2 linked regions of the Styela clava genome follow. The protein of the gene in region 2 interacts with the protein of the main gene of each other region in a biochemical or structural test. Links are inferred from orthologs where the notes say so. Each region holds a gene or a part of one and is shown on either strand. Other genes may lie near its edges. The genes, in order: nuclear inhibitor of protein phosphatase 1-like and polycomb protein eed-like.

The links.
Region 1: the proteins of polycomb protein eed-like (region 2) and nuclear inhibitor of protein phosphatase 1-like form a complex in vitro, tested with the Homo sapiens proteins (2 studies listed by BioGRID). The link is inferred for Styela clava from reciprocal best matches to the Homo sapiens genes EED and PPP1R8.

What each region holds. Positions count from the first base shown.
Region 1 is NC_135257.1:22,033,188-22,041,854, forward strand, and holds the start of nuclear inhibitor of protein phosphatase 1-like, read right to left. Parts: upstream 3,658-8,667; 5' UTR 3,495-3,657; coding exon 3,427-3,494; intron 1,094-3,426; coding exon 1,033-1,093; intron 261-1,032; coding exon 107-260; intron 1-106. UniProt on the Homo sapiens protein: Inhibitor subunit of the major nuclear protein phosphatase-1 (PP-1). It has RNA-binding activity but does not cleave RNA and may target PP-1 to RNA-associated substrates. May also be involved in pre-mRNA splicing.
Region 2 is NC_135261.1:18,999,042-19,008,235, forward strand, and holds the start of polycomb protein eed-like, read right to left. Parts: upstream 3,811-9,194; 5' UTR 3,727-3,810; coding exon 3,481-3,726; intron 1,832-3,480; coding exon 767-1,831; 3' UTR 1-766. UniProt on the Homo sapiens protein: Polycomb group (PcG) protein. Component of the PRC2/EED-EZH2 complex, which methylates 'Lys-9' and 'Lys-27' of histone H3, leading to transcriptional repression of the affected target gene.

The sequences.
Region 1 (8,667 bases), on a different chromosome or scaffold from region 2:
TCCGCGTCTAATTTCGGCCTCCGATCAATCAACCTTGGGAACCACTGGTTTAGAACGAAAGAAAAAAAATACCTAAAAAAATTCTTCCTATTTTCTATGAACTTACTGCTTCCTAAGTCAATAATGAACATTCTCTTCAGATGTTTGTGATAAACAAGGACAGCATGAACTCTGGAACAGGATGAATGTTCAGTGATGAAATCACATGAGTCAGAGTTTCGCCCGAAAACGTAACATTTTTTCTCGTCAATGATGAGTTTCTGCAAATATAAAAATAAAATTTAAACAACTGTTTCAAATTTTATCAATTGGGCAAGATGAGGAACATTGCACTTTTTACCAAATAGGTCAAAAATTTCGAAATAGGAAATTTGATATAGAAAAGAAGATTAGGGAAAATAGAAATATATATATATAATCATTGAAAAACTGGCTGTTGCAATCTTCCACAAGTTTCATAATTTTGCCGTAACAGTACGGCACACTATACAAATCGGGTGACATTCTCCCGTTTCAGAGAAACCCATTTTACAGATGATCAGACACCCCTCCTTTGGGAGACGTCTGGACATTGTTGTCCCTCAATATCGGTAAGAATACAGTATAATGAAGTTGCGCAAAATACTACAAAAAAACGCAATACAGTAACGTCATCATTGAATTCCTTGGGAAAAACTACTCCGATTTACCAAAGGAAAATTTTTTTACCGTAGCATTCGAGAGTTTTTAGCAAAAAATGGTCATATGATGGCCGCAATTAACTTAGATTATTATTGAGACGAGCATAGTGTGATATGACGCATCTGACATGGTCCCAGACACCCCTCGTTTGTGAGACACATAGAGTGTTCGTTTTATAGAGCAAAATGGAGGGAAATTCTTGGAATTTAAATAGTGTGGTATACTGTATGATAAGTTATTGAATTTTATCTCCATCAGTAAAATACATGAGTCCTGCACAGTGGAGTTCAACACTTCAAATGATGCGCCTCGGCAATAAGTTGTTGAAAATAAAATCTCAGGCAAACACACCTCAACCAACTTCTCTCCTTTCATGACATTCAGATGTGTTCCAGTAGGTGCTTTTCCTGCCCTGAACATAATAACATAGAATAACTATAGCAATCTATAGTTTGATAGTACAGTATACTTCCTACTGCTGTACTGCTAGTTGAAAGCTTATTTTTGTATTTGGCTTGACAGTCAGCGCATTGTGCTAAATATTATTACACGACTGACTGGACTACATAAGTTCGGATTATAACATAATTATGAAAGTTACAATTATAACAGGATTTGATGGACTCTTCGGAGCCGCACATATGTTATGGTACCGGTACTGTACCGCTGGTTGGTTACAGCTTTCTCAACCATATGCCCATCAAGTCCATGCATCTGAAACAAATGTGGGTAACGGGTGAAGGATAGGATAGGATTTACATATTTATCCCGGAGGAGAGGAAAGCCGATAAGACGGCTTATTCATATGGCGAACCACGGCCTCTCGTCCGGTTACCATTCCAAGTCGGGTATGGGATTAGATTTACTGTATTGTTTGTTTTCGGAAGCATGGACTTGGTGGTGGAGGAAGCCGTAACCGACCAGCGGTCCAGTCTGGATTTCATGGCCTTTTTGAACGAGAAATCGGGCGTGCAATCAGAAATTCCCGCGTGCAAATAAGTATTTCTGGCGTGCAATTATAGCTCACGGCGTGCAAAACAACTGCGCCCGCGTGAAACTGACTTCGATCTAGGATACCTCTCAATACATCCGCGTAAAATTACCGGAATAAAAATGGATAAAAAATATGTTGAATCATAGCAAAAATGGACGTTTGACCTTTGACCCCCAAACATTATTTCTACAGTTTGTTGCTAATTTTGAGAGTGGTTGTGCGACTTTGGTTACCGGCCAGACTGGATTCCATGGCAGGTGCACGCCCGAGGGCGCTAGCGCTCCGCAAAAATGCACGCGAGCGAAATCAATTTTGCACGCCGAAAATTTGCAATTGCTCACTAATGTAAATCGGTTTAAATGGTTTTAAAATCAATAATCCAGTAATATAAAGATGCCAAAATATTATAACTCCACAATTGTCGACAAATACCAGCTTGCAAGATTTGGTCTGATCGAAATATTGCGAAGCAAAAAAGACCATGGACCTTTCCCCGACCTTTGACCCGCGAAAAATTCCTCTCGTTGTTACGTCCTTTTTTGCATCTTGCTGATTGGCCAATGTCACGAAGTAAACAAGGAAGTCGATGCTCGGGGGAAAGGTCCATATCGTGTTGAATGATAGGAATCCCGTGAGAATAGATATGGACGAAAAGATCGCCTCCGCACCAATGGCCAAGTACGGCTCTGATTCAGCGTATTTTTCATACAATAATTTTACACGAATGTACTGAACAGTACCGGTATCTAAAGTTGCTCAAACACTCCCAAAATTAGTGACAAAGTATGAAAATAATATTTGGGGTCAAAGGTCAAACGTCCATTTTTTTCTCTGATTCAACGTATTTTTTTCCGATACCGGTAATTTTACGCGGATGTATTGAGAGGTATCTGATGTCAAAGTCAGTTGCACGCGAGCGCAGTTGTTTTGCACGTCCTGAGCTATAATTGCACGCCAGGAATTCTTATTTGCACGCGGGAATTTCTGATTGCACGCCCGATTTCTCGTTCAAAAAGGCCATGAAATCCAGACTGGGTTACCGGTACTGTTCAGTACATCCGTGTAAAATTATTGTTTGAAAAATACGCTGAATCAAAGCCATAACTGGCCAGCGTCGGTGAGGGGGCGATCTTTCTCACTGGATTCCTGTCATTCAACACGATATGGTGTTTTTTGCTTCGCATTTTTCGATCAGGCCAAACTTGCAATCTAGTATTAGTCGACAATTGTGAAGTTATAATTTTTTGGCATCTTTATATTACTAGATAATTGATGTACAAACTATTTAAACCGATTTACATCAATGAGCAATTGCAAATTTTCGGTGAACAAAAATGAATTCGCTCGCGTGCATTTTTGTGGAGCGCTAGCGCCTTCTGGCGTGCATCTGCCATGGAATCCAGTCTGGCCAGCGGTTACGTGAACCACCCAACGACGGCGAGGAGTCCAGCAATCCTCTCGCACATAACCATCCCTGCATGGGATTCGAACCTGCGAACCCACGCAGAGTAGTTAGAGGTGCGGTGGCGAATGTATTCCTAACGCTTAGCCCGTTGAGCCACGCCGCCGCGCCTATACCCATATCTGCATATTGGACATGAACTGATAACTGGACAACAGTTCAAGGTTCGCCATAGCAATAAGCCATTTCCATTCCTCCCCAACCTGCTAACAGGCTGAATATCAAAATCCTATATGAAACATGATATCTTAAGTCATACTGTCAGTAAGTAAAAAACAAGGAAACTCACCAAGAAGGAACTTCAAAATCCACTTTCGCTGGATTAGCAAATTTCCCGGAAGGTTTAATTGCCGTCATTTCAATATCCAAGCCTCAATAACTAAACCACTCTCTCAAACGTGCAACATTTTCCAAGAATCTAATCGAAAGCTATCCAAAATATCTATCAACATGCACACACAACCGAACTTGCAGACAATATAGAGGTGGATGGAGTCAATATATATTGGGAAATGAAAATTCCATTTTGTTTGAGTTTCATAAGATTACTGTTAGGATTAGGAAAATATTTCATGATTATGGTGGAGAAAGAAAGAACTGATAAAATTACGATATTGCCATCGACGGCCTTTTTTGTGGGTTCAAATCCATGTTGCGCATGGTAATATTTACTCGTTCTAGATACATAGACTTGCTGATAAAAAACTGTAACCGAGTACGCTGACCATTTCGATCATACAGTACATATTTATATTTGCGAGATTCGAAGTCAAGCATTAAAAATCAATCGTACACAAATTACGAGCAAATAAATAAGTACACATTTTTAATGGAAAAGGAAATTACGGGGACAACCAAGGTTCAAAAATCGCAGTAATCAATTTCAATGTCGCAACTACTGTATTTGCATCAGGTGCGACAAGGGTTGGGATTTCGGAACAAGTTTTTGAAATCCCGGTATCGATATATCCCGGGATTGAGCCGTATAAAGTAAAGATTGAAACATCTTGCATGACAATAAAATCATGTATTTCTTTCATGTAATATCGACGCAGAAATATTAGGGCATCTAGGGCAGTGGTTCCCAACCATTGTTATATCGTGGCACACTATTTAGCTCTTTAAATATTCGCGGCACACCTATCACAAAACACGAACATTTTCTACCCATAAAGAGTGCAATAGTCGAACGCGAACAAATGGTTAACAGTTACCGATATTAGAACTGTTTTCTTAAACATGAATGAGAGCGTCTTCGGAGCACCTCACATTATTCTAAAAGTAGCGCGGCCTCACGGGTAATACGTGGTCTTCAGACGCACCGCCGATCACGCGCTTCGGTTTTGCTCGCCCTTCCCTGTTCCATGTTACGCCCTTATCATTATCACATGTATTCTCACTTTTTCACAACCTTATTCATTTTTGTTACAATTCAATATTTTTCTCCCATTACCAAAAATCATTCAATAGAGCTATTGTCGGCAGTTGCGAGAGAATTGAAAGTGGCAAACAAACTGTATTTCATTACAACAATTAATTATTATCGCTAAAAACACTAAATAGGTTTAAAGTTGTTATAAACGATTTTTACAGCTGGACATATCTTTTCACGTTTGGAATTTCCGATTTTGGAAAGCCCGAACATAAATTTGATGGCAAAGATCATAGCATTTACTATGTCGAAACGCTTATTCAACTTTTCAGACCGCAGAAACTATCTGAAAAAGATGACCGTTTTTGTGTTCGAGGTATGGAATAATCGTAAATTCCACCACGCTTTTGTGAAGTAGTGCAATTTACTAAATTCATGGAGGATTTATTAAGTTTCATTGCATCAGTGTTTGGACTACCACGCGTTTTAATATTGGTTTTATTACTATTTCTTTTATTATTTACTGGCGTGATTACAGATCGCAAGGGTGGTCAAAATAGTATATTTTCATCTAATAATTTTAACGAATTGTCAAATATCGGGTTGAATTCGAGATTTTATTCCGATTTTCAACTTTTAGGTCGGTTTGGATCTTTCTTGTCACCGTTTGTAAACTAACTGTCCCAATTTTAAGCTAAAAATATTATCATTTCTGACGCCGGAATGCGGATATTTATGAAGACGATAGTTGACCTTCTTGACTTCACTTTTCAACTGTGTGGCTGTTTTATTTTCGTATATAGTGAATTAAAACACTGCGAAGTCATTGTGTGCATCCTGAATGCTATTTTGAGTTCAAATTATAATTAAATAAGTCGGCAATAATGACAATTCTACTAGTCAAATAATAATTCCTTGGCACAATTTGAGGAAAATTTCACACAATAATTCTACTTCCACTCAAACTGTGAGCGTGGATTGTTTTTTTCAAAATAAGTATTATATAAAATAGTATAACCTACCATCTGTGAGAATATCTATAGGTGGATAATAAAGCCTTAATTAAATTCTCGGGATATTTAGGAAATAATTGCGGGATCGGGATTGAAAAAAACAGTCCAAATCCCGGGATTCTTAGGATGTATATATTTTATACCTCATTCATGTTACTTTTTAGGCTAACCTGTAACAGCGCTGTGGGTATCGCTGCTTGAAGACCTCCATACGTCCCTCGCGACTCCGGTCACACAACTAACATAATTAGTACTATTATTTATTTATTCATTGCATCAGTTTTTATTTGAACTTGTTTTTGTAATGACAAATAAACGATTGGCTGATTGATTGATTAAAGTTTAGGAATTTAAGCAGTTAGTACTGTTATTGGACACGAAATGGATTTTTTTTCATGTTGTTGTTGTATAAATTTTGCCCTACGGTTTCACGGCGCGGCGGTGTGGCTCATCGTGCTAAGCGTTAGGAATACGCTTGCCACCGAACCTCTGATTACTCTGCGTGGGTTAGCAAGTTCGAATCTCAAGCAGAGATGGTTACGTGCGAGAGGATCGCTGGACTCTTCGCCGCCGTGGGGTGGTTTCCGTAACTGCTGGTCGGTTATGGCTTCCTCCACCATCAAGTCCATGCTACCGAAAACAAATGACTAAGTTAACTAATCCCATACCCGAGGCCGTGGTTCGTCATTTTGGTAAACCGTCCTATCGGTTCCCCCCCCCCCCCCTCGGGATAAATATATAAATCCTATCCTACCCTATTAGTGGGCCAATCGCTTAGAATCAATTAGGCAATTGAAAGTGGTTAAAGATTGTTGTTGTGCATGAAGCTTATTACTTTCGTTTTATTTTAAAATTTCCATGGGTTTTATGGGATTCGTTTTACCACCCTGAAGTTTTGTGTGACGATGTCACCAGGATTAAAAAAATTGCGCACCGTGTGGCGGTTGCTCTCACCATCGCATTTCAATGATATGATACCATTGAACTGAAAAAACATGGAACGATCTTCTCTCTCGTTTTGCGTTGTCTCGCCGCGGGATCATTTGATCGCCGCCATCTTGGCATTTATGCTGCCAAAGTTTCTTCGTGTTGCATATGGTTTTGGCCAGTATTTCGTCTATTTTAGTACTCAGTGTCACTTTTGGGACCCGGAAATGATAAGTCGATTTGCCAGACTCGTTTTATTGAGAATATTCAAAACGGTTGACTAAAATATAAATGAAATATTTAGCACCAAATAAGTCGAAGACAAATGATACAGAATATAAAACTGATATCAATTAATCAATCATCATTTTATTCGTCAGCACAAAATAAACGTATCATAAGAAAAAAACATTTCAAATACAATATGAACTTAACTTAAGTTGTGTGACAGGAGTCGCGAGGGACCTCATAAGGTCTTCAGGCAGCGACACCTTAAAAGCTCGCTGATTCAGGTTAGTGAGCACAAAAAGTTAATGAAACACCAAAACACTTCAAAAAATATTATAAGAAAAAAAAAGCAGCATTTTCGGAAAACATAATATTAACAAATATGTTTCATGAATGGTTTGCAAAAGCAAAACATTCCAGTTATGAGCATGTTTCTTAAAATCCACGACCAACGATGCAACTTAATGCACTGTACAAATTCATTAGATATATAGAAAGGAAAATAAATAAAAAATAATATACTGTATTAATTACTCAAGCGGGATCAGCCATTGTCCTGATCACTGGCATGGTGTAAGCAAGCAATTAAAAATTTGATTCTCAGAAAGTCAGACTCCACGCACATCTGATTTTCCCGCAGAACAGAGCGTGGATAGACAGAATCGAATGTTTGGTCAGAAAAATAGGGCTTGGGGGTTTGTTGCAAAGAAAAGCAGTACAGGTACCGGTAGTGGTTAATTATCAATTCAAAGAAAGGTAGTCACTAATGTACTTCATTTTTAGTTCTCTTTTGAAACCATGATAAGAGAGTGATCTTAGGGTACCTGATATATTGTTCCATAACTTCACACCAATGTATTTGATGGATTTCTGCGTTCTACATGTGTGTATCTGGATACATGGAAGGCACCTTGTGATCCGATCTTGTGCAATACGAATGAACGCTAGTTTGCTTGGTGAAATACCCTACAAATGCTCTTGGAGGTTTGTTGTCAAAGTACTGGTTGATAAGTTTCAATACCTCGAATTCATGGACGTGGCAAAGTTTCATTACTTTAAATTTATGGTACAAGTGGTCAAGTCTGGATCGTAAGGGTGCATCACCTATAGCTCTGATCGATTTATTTTGCAACACCTCCAATCTGCGAAGTAAGTTGGAGGATGCGCTTCCCCATGCTACAATACCATACTGAAGATATGACTGAAAGAGCGAAAAATAAACTAATCGCAAAGCCGATGTGGTGAGAAATTTTTCAAGTTTAAATAATATACCTGCTTTTCTACCTAGCTTGCCAGCAATGTAGTTGATGTGTGTTGCCCATTTTAACCGATTACCAATGTGTATGCCCAAGTATTTGTAGGAGTCCACATTATCAAGTAAAATGCCATTAATTAATGGAAATTTGGAACAAGTACCTACTTCTGTCATTTCTATTGGAGTTAATGAAAAGGGATTTGGATTTTGCAATATTTAGTTAGTTTATTGATAGTCATCCAGGTTGCAATATTTTGTATTTCAGAGTTCATGTGCATTTTCAAGTTGTTTGGTGAAACTGAACTACCGAATAATCCGGTATCGTCAGCAAAGAGTTTGACCAATAATTTGGTGGCATGAGGAAGATCGTTGACGAATAATACGAACATTAATGGGCCGATTATTGTGCCCTGTGGAATTCCGCATTGCACAGTTGAGAATGTGGAGCAATTTGTCCCTACTTTGACATATTGCTGACGTGAGCTTAAATAGCTCTGGAAGAATTTTGATGCATGACCGCGAATGCTATAATGGCTCAGCTTTCTAACTAGTATGTGATGGTCAACAGTATCGAACGCCTTTTTAAGGTCGAGGAATATTGCACCGATATGTTCTTTTTCCTCAAGTTTGTCATAAAAGTAAGTTATCATATCTAGTATAGCATGAATGATAGAGTGCTTCTTTTGAAAGCCAAATTGAGATTTATTTATGATTCTATTTCGATCTATGAATTGT
Region 2 (9,194 bases):
AGTGTATCAAATAGCCCATACCAAATTGGAAATACAAGTAACATATCGCTCAATATGTAGGTAGAAGACAGTCTATTCATTGCCTACAAAATGGAGCCATTTTATATCAGTTCTGCAGCTTGTCATGTAAGCAAAGATAAGCCCACAGCTTTTCGATATAAAATGTGACGAGGTTGGTTGATAATGCAAAACAAACATTGATTCAAGAATGAAGATATGGCCTACACAGAATAGCAAAAGTTTCGATATGATTAACAGCATATCAGTGATGTCGGAACTATACATATACGGATATAGGTATGCAAGAAACCTTGTTATGTAACTTTTAACATACTTTAAAAAATGAGTGGATTTACCTCTGGAACAAATTGCAGCAGTTTACTTGTCAGATACCTCTGCCCACTGGAATAAGATACTTTAAAACATCAAAAAGCTGTGACTTTTCCAATGCTTTGTCAATGAATTTACATACTGCAAAGGTTACATGCAAAACAATTGGTAGATGGTTTGTATTCATGATTGAGTAAGGCATGCCGGTAGTCAACCCCTTCGCTGAGCAGCATATTTTGGGTTATACCAAGCAATATCAGGTAGCGAAACATGGTCCATGATGATTGGTGGAGAAACAATAGTGCAAATTTAGACACATTCAAATTTAGAGAATATAAAGCAATATTTTACTGAAGCATTCAACTTTTCATTTTTGACTGGCTATAACCAACCCAGTGCAACTTTAACTGCACAACAAAATACAGTGGCTGATAGCTCATTTTCCCTGCAAATCCCATCTCCAAATTGTAGCATCATCACATACACAGATAAGAATGTTTCCTTCTTTTGAGAAAGCAGTTTGACGAATTGAATTTGTGCATCTAACGTTGACCAGAGGCAAGCACTTTGGTTTAGAAGTATCCATTTTCTCAAGATCCCAAACAAAGGTTTTCCCATATTGATTTCCAAGAGCAAGAAATCGCTGTCGCATATCCATTGCAAATCGCATATACCATATTTCGCAATGTTGATATTGAAGTCGACTTAGAATAGTAACATTAGTCTTTTCCATTAACTTTAAGGTGTCTATATCAGACTCGACAAACCCTGGTTTCCAGCATACAAGATGATTTTCACATGATTTTGAAAGTAAAAAGTCACCATACCATTTAACACAATCAACATAATTCCTGTGAATGTCCCTCGTGGTGAAATATGGATAATGGATATGAATGGTTGGAAAAGGTTTGTTATATTTTGAGCCATCATATTTTTCCGAAGCTTCCATAGCGAGCTCTATGATTGATTGATCTAATCGCCAAATTTTCAATGAATGATCCATCCCACATGACACAATTTTAGTTCCAGTGATATCAAAATCGCAACTCAAAACCTCATCTCTGTGACCTTCCACCCCTCCAAAAACGCAAACCAACGTGTCAGTTTTTATATTCCACATACGCAAAGAATGGTCTTTTGAAGCACTCAACAGCAAATTTAGCTTTGTTGGATGAAATTTCAATTCATTCACTGCATTACCGTGACCATGGTAATGCTTCGCACACTGCTTTGTGATAATGTTGAATACTCTTATCACTCCTCTTGACCCAGCAAATGAAAGAATGGGGTGACCAGTTGTTGTATCAAGACTCCAAGCACAGGTATAAAATGTTTCATCATGGTCGGGATCTTCATAGGCTTGTAGGAGTTTTATGTATCCGTTTTCGCAACATTCGTAAATAGTTGCACGATTGCTTCCAACAGTAGCAAACATTTGGGGTTCATTTTCACCCATGAATTGATTGAAACTAACGCCAAACAAGGGTTTTCCATGGTCCTCCTGATTTAAAAAATGGTGTAATACAATCACTATAATTATTTGATACACTTACAAAAGAATGGGATTTACATATTTATCCCAGGGGAGAAGTAAGTCGATTGGGATTAGCCAGTTTATTTATTTCAGATGCATGGACTTGATGGTGGAGGAAGCCGTAACCGATCAGCCAGCAGTTTAGTGAACGACTATACGGCAGTGAGGAGTCCAGCAATCCTCTCGCACATACTTATTCCCCATAAGATTTGAACCTGCAAACCCACGCAGAATAATCAGAGGTGCGATGGCGATTGTATTCTCAACATTTAGCACGATGCACCATCATGGTTTAATTCGAAAAATTGCGACAAATATTAATATATACAGATATATAAACAGTGCAACAGTCAGACAGTAATACTGTATCATATGAACTGCAGTCCTACCAATCATACTCCTGTACTCAGCACCTAGGGACATTATGGGATCTCGTATAGTTTAGTACCTAACGTACTTCTAGACCAGTCTGGATTTCATGGCCTTTTCGAACGAGAAATCGGGCGTGCAATCAGAAATTCCCGCGTGCAAATAAGAATTTCTGGCGTGCAATTATAGCTCACGGCGTGCAAAACAACTGCGCCCGCTAAACTGATTTCGACCTAAGATACCTCTCAATACATCCGCGTAAAAATAAGTTGGATCATAGCAAAAATGGACGTTTGACCTTTGACCCCCAAAACATCATTTCGGGATTCCTATCATTCAACACGATATGGTGATTTTTGCTTCGCATTTTTCGATCAGGCCAAATCTTGCAAGCAAGTATTAGTCGACAATTGTAAAGTTATAATTTTTTGGCATCTTTATATTACTAGATTAGTGATTTAAAAACTATTTAAACCGATTTACATTGGTGAGCAATTGCAAATTTTCGGCGTGCAAAATTGAATTCGCTCGCGTGCATTTTTGTGGAGCGCTAGCGCCCTCGGGCGTGCATCTGCCATGGAATCCAGTCTGGCTTCTAGAGGGCGTAGCATAACAATTTTTTGATATGTCAATCCTAACCCCCATCTGACTAGCCTATGCCATCCAAAAATTATGTCACTACGACATAACAATCACGTCATAGAGCTTGCCAAATACTGAAACATACGTGAGATCGCCCGAAATGGCATCGGCGCCGGCGCCTCTCATATTGGGATCGTTGCGACGAGAAAACGAGAGAGATAGCTTGCTCGATTTCGGGTGCTCGTATGCGCACCTTGGATGACAGTTCGTATAGTTTGAAGGGCTCTATTACGTCACTGTGACGCCATAGTGACTTAATTTTTGGATGGTGTAGTCAGGTGAGGGTTAGGATTGACACATGAAAAAATTGTTATGCTATGCCCACTACAGCACTAGACTGCTAGAAGTAGACTATGTTAGGTACGAAACTACATGAGACCCCATTATGGCCAGGTACGGTTATAGAAATACAAATTTCAGTTATCGAATTTTTTCAATTAGCTCACTTTGTATTTTTTTTATTGCTGTATTAGAGAGGCACACATTCAGACACTGCACCCTAATTCAGTAATTGGGAATGGATAGGATAGGATAGGATTTACATATTGATCCCGGGGGAGAGGAAAGCTGTAATGGTGATGTTATTGACTTAACAAAATACCGACCTTCAACGAATTGACACACTTGAAAAGAGATTTTAGAATTTGCTTTTTATGAAATTTCCCTCGGCCTTTGAATCTTCTTTTTGTGGTACCGGCACCGCTTCCGTGACTAACGCCGGAACTTAATTCGGAATCATTATCATCAGAGTTATTGTCCATGTCGTTACTTGCAACTGATGCGTCTTCTGTGTTATCATCATCTACTTCCATTTCGCTCTTCCTTTTAACTTTTTCCATTTTGATTTTCATCGGTGTTTCAGTCAGCAGTACCGTAACATTACGAGCACACAAACGCTCTGCCAAGTTAACGTTTTATAAAACGCGCGAACCGGCTTTGCGCAGAAAGAATCCGTGCACTGCCAGTAGTAGTGTATCGCAAGAGTCTAATCTGGTTATATTCCATGTGATAAATTTTAAATTTCAGGAATGATTTCGAATGTTTCATCTAAAAATTAGTATTTTTTTCTATATCAAATTCAGGGACACACAAATATAGATTACATACAAAAAATTTCATATTTCATTTTTTACGGTACCAGTTACAGTGCAGTACTTGGCTTCATTCTGTTTATACAATGCGCATTTTTATTATATATGGCAAAAAAAACAGTGATTACCCAAGAATGTATTTTTAGAGTAGTAACTTATCTATATAATTTGGTCCCTTCCTGTATCTGTGTATGTAGTGATTTAGGTAAAAAAATTACCATTATCTTTTGCCATCTGGTGTTTCGAAAAAATTAGTCGCATCAGCTGAATATTAATATCATTATGTAGCCTACTGTTAATTAATACCTTTTATTTAATTGTTGTAATTAAATAAATTGTTGTAATTTTAATGTTGTAATTTTCAGGTGCCATGAAATTAGCTATCATCAGTGTTGATGATGGCTAATAATGCCTTGTCGAGTAACGTCCCTAATAATTGAATATGCTATCTGTATAGTGCTAACGTGTCGCAGTTGCGCCACTCGCTAGTATGTTCTGTTGCTGTAAGCATCTTATGTTGTGTGTTATGCTGGTGTAATAAAGAAGTGTAAGCGTATTCAGTTGAACCCTTATTCTATAATAGCTTGGGTGTAGAACTTAACATATAACCAAGACATTATTAACAATCAGTACTGTTTAAATGTTGTGCACATATAGAATTGTTTAAGGTCTTTCAAAATACCTGTCATAATTTATTTTCAGCATGTTTTGCAAATTGTAGTAGCTAGTTTAGTGTACCGGATTCTAGGGGTCAATTTGCTTCTATTGGAAGTTGTCTTCAATTTTAGGGTCCTTTAGTGTTTTTATTGTGTATATGGTTTTTCTTGCATTGTGCTGCCTGGTGTTTGTTGTTTTTATTGTATGCTTTCCGTTTTGTTGGAGTATTTGGTTGTATTGAGGTTGATAATTATTAAATAGAACAAAATAGTATAAATTGAAGTGAATATTGAGAGGAAACTTGACGTCAGATCATAATGGAAGATATTCTGAACTTGGATAATTATTACATAGACTGCCGGTACGCTACAAAAGTATAAATATAGTCAAGGTTTGCATACGTCCTTATTTTTGAGATTTTTCCTTCAATCATAACATGAATATCAAGCAAAGAGCACAGATGGCAATGAATGTCAATGTGCTATATTCCCAACAGGTTCAATTCCAAAAGTGGCAAGTTTGGTTCGGTCTGTGGCATATGCCTCCTAATATTTCCGTCAAATGTATTTGCGTGTTGTGCAATTTTTCCCCTGCCAAAACGATTTCCTGAGATTTTTCTAGTCACCTTGGTTGTTTATTTGACCCTACCCATCACGGCCACTCTTGCAAGTTAAAAAGAATCTTGACTTGCGATTAGATGTTTGAATCTTCATTATCATAGAGTTGGCCGGTTAGTGAAAAACACTAAGCGCTAACCCAGTGGCGGCGCGTCAATAGGGCCAATCGGGGCAATGCCCCGGTTGTTTTTTCGGTATGATAAAAAATATTCGAAAAATACCTCAATATCGGTTGCACAGACTGTCTACACTAGCCATATTCTCCCGACATGGTTCATTTTTCGCTCGCAAAGCCTTCGCCGAACGTCGACGGGGCGACGCCGATTTTGCCCCGGTTGCTCATTGTATATCGTATTCTCTCTTTTATCTTCCACTCGCCGCGTTTGTCTCGTTTGTTTTCTGTTTCTTTTACTAAATCATCGGGGCCGATCGGGGCTAGCCCCGAAATTATGACGACACAATGCCGACGTTTCTTACAACAACGTGTTGACATATTCACGCATTCCTTCTCGTTCGTTGGTTGCTTGAAGAGTTGATAGTTTCCTCGTCTTCGTTTTTGTCGCTTGTTTCGCTATTTGAATCAGTTAGAGACCTTTAGTCCATTTGCTTTCGATTTTCCACATTCCTTTTGAGCTCCTCACTTCTTTCCGGCTTCGCATTTCTTAGCCTTAGACCTCATAATGAATAAGGTTGATGCACTACTTCGCACTCCGTTTTCGCAGCTGCCGCTGGAACAAAAACTAGAGGTTCAACGTTCTGGGCCTTATCAACCAAAAAATTGTTCACTGGAACAATCCCATGACGGAGGAAAGCGTCGGCGTACATTCTGCGCAGAAACTTGGTATAAAAAACACGAATGGTTGTGTTACAGCGAGGACAAAAATGCACTTTTTTGTTTTTATTGCCTACTTTTTGCTACCGCCCGTGACTCACGTTGGTGTAAATTTGGTTTTAGAGATCTTAAACATCTTTCCGAGCGTGCCAGGGATCATCAATCTTCTATGGAGCATCTGAACAATGCAGTAAAATACTGAACATTCGGAAATGTTAATATTGCAGCACAGTTGGATGAAGGACGCGCGGTTTCTATTCGTCGGCACAACCAAAACGTCGAGAAAAACCGCCATGTTCTCGGTCGATTGATAGATGTTTTGAAGTTCATTGGTTGTCACGAGCTGTCCCTCCGTGGGCACGATGAACGGGCTGGCTCTTCTAATAGAGGGGTATTTTTGGATATGGTGGAATACACCGCATCCCTAGATACAGTATTGAGAGATCATCTTGATGCCGCAACTGTTTCGAAAGGGACATCTAAGGATATCCAAAATGATTTGCTCGACTCAATGTATAAAGTTTATTTACAACATTTGGCTCTGGAAATTGAGAATTGCCAGTTCCTTTCGATTCAGTCTGACGAGACAACTGACATCACGTGCGTTTCCCAACTGGCTGTGATTTTTCGGTTTGTGAAAGATGGTAAACCTACCGAGAGATTTCACAGCTTTGTACCAATCGTTGATCGCACGGCTTGCGGGATATCGGCTGTACTGAAAGAAGTGTTACAGCCTTACAACGCGAAGTCAAAATTGATAGCTCAAACTTATGACGGCGCGGCAGTCATGAGTGGGTCGAAACATGGTGTTCAAGTTTATATAAAAATAGATTTTCCTCATGCGCATTTTTTACATTGTTATGCACACCAATTAAACCTTGTTACTGAAAATATGTGTCTTGATACCCCTCTCGTCCGTATATTTTTTGCAAATGTTTCGGGATTTTTTTCCGTTTCGCCGAAGCGCTCTGACCTCCTTCGCCAGATATGTAGCCGCCGTCTCCCAGCTTGTGCACCAACACGTTGGAACTTCCAATCACGCGTGGTGCAGGGCGTGTCCGAAATTAGGTCTGAGCTCATTGAGTGTTTCAATGGCATTCAGAGCTCTCCGGTTTGGGACGAACGCTCTGTGAGGTAGGCGGCAGGTCTAAAGCGTCTGCTAGAAGATGGTGAGTTTTCATTTTTTCTCGCTTTTTTCTCCACAATATTCTATCACGTGGATGTATTATACGGCGCATTGCAGTCAAGGCTAATGGATGGAGCGTCTGTGCAGTCGTGTATTTCAGACTTCTGCGATGCTGGATCTCGTATCCGGGAAACAATAAAACGACGACACATGGAGTGCTTCTTTACGCCGCGGGCAAACAACGCAGCGTTTGATTTTGTCTGCAAAGGAATGCTGTGACATTCTGGTGAATCAAATAGGCGATCGTCTGCGCACTGAACACCTTGCCGCGTTCTCTTTGATGAACCCCAAAAATTTTTCAAAATTTGCACGTCAATTTCCCATCCATTTGTTGGCTACTGTCTCCAAATTTTACCCCATGATAAACGTGGGTAAATTGGAAAATGAATTGCGATGTATATACACCAATCAAACTTTTTTGAACATCACATCAACTTGCGCGCTCTATGGGTTCCTCATAGATAACACTCTAGTAACTACCTTTGCGGCGTCTGCAAAATTTCTGGACATCATTTTGACGACGCCTATTTCTTCCGCCGACGCAGAGCGAACATTCAGCACGCTGAAGCGTATTAACCGTATCTCAGAAACACAATGAAGCAAGATAGATTAAATTCCTTGGCTGTTTTATCCATTCACAGAGACGTTATTTCTGGGATGCATGACTTTAATCAGCGCGTTATTGAGCATTTTGCTTCCAAGAAACCGCAGCGTGTTGCATATATGTTCAAGCAGTAGAAGTCTAGCAGCATATATATCTGTGAGTGAGCGACGCATGTCCTTATCTTTGCATTATCTTTCCTTTCTTCATAGTAACGTTTTAAACCTTATTTTAGGTTTTGTCTGCTTTCCCGAAGTTTCTGTTAATATGTCATTGTATTTATCTGGGTAAATATTGCCTTTCCTTTTGAAAGAAGTTTCAAAATAAACTATGTCTATATTTATTAATCCCTTGACTTGGACTGGTTTTAAAGACACTTTCTTATCGTTAAAAATTGTCGCTTTTGCCGATTGGTTGTTACCGATGGAATGGGTTTTATACTCATAAAATGATGATTGGAGAACTTACAGCGCTCATCCTGTCCCCGTAGATGGGGGTGACTTGGTCCCGCAGTAGCTTGCCCCGTAAGTTCAATCCCGCGCCGCCACTGCGCTAACCACTGTTTACGTGGGAGAAACAAAACAAAATAGAAACTCGAAGCAAGGAACATAAGCGAGATGTTAAACAAAAAATATTTGAGAGTTTGACCCTCTTTAGATATGCCATTTAAACAGATCACAGTAGAAAACGAAACAAACTACAGGAAAAGACGATTTGAATAGAAGAGCCTAATGAAACAAGGTTTACAAATTATTTTCAATAGAATTAGCTGCTTTTCAATTTTATTATGTACGGGAAAGTCTCTGGACGGAGTCTCTGCCTCCACGCATGCGCGACAATAAACTGATATACCGCTTTCCTTATCCTCGTTATTGGATGAACAATATATTTACCGTTTAATATTCCGCAAACCGCGAGATATTTACCGCAAAACAAGAACCGACGGAAAAAGTCAGCATGCAATTGATAACTATTGCGCGTTGTCAGACTCTGGCTAAGATAATCAATCAATCATTTATTTTTTCTCCTCTGATTAAAACATGAAAAAACATAGAAAATTCAGACAGGGCAACAAGGTGCAGAAAAAACAAGGAGGTTGAGCATAGCCTAAAATAAGGTTAAAAAAGTACATGAATACGCGCCCATCCACCTGATAGAAAAAGCCTTTAAAAGGAGTAAAACATATAAGCACGGATGCTTATTTTAATCAACATGCGGGCGGTCTTTGCACATCGTAAGTGCCGACTTCGGGTCTTTGGATAGACCGGAATCTATATAGACGGGACACAATGAAAACGTATCGAACGCGCCACTCTCAGCCCCTTTATCCACAAA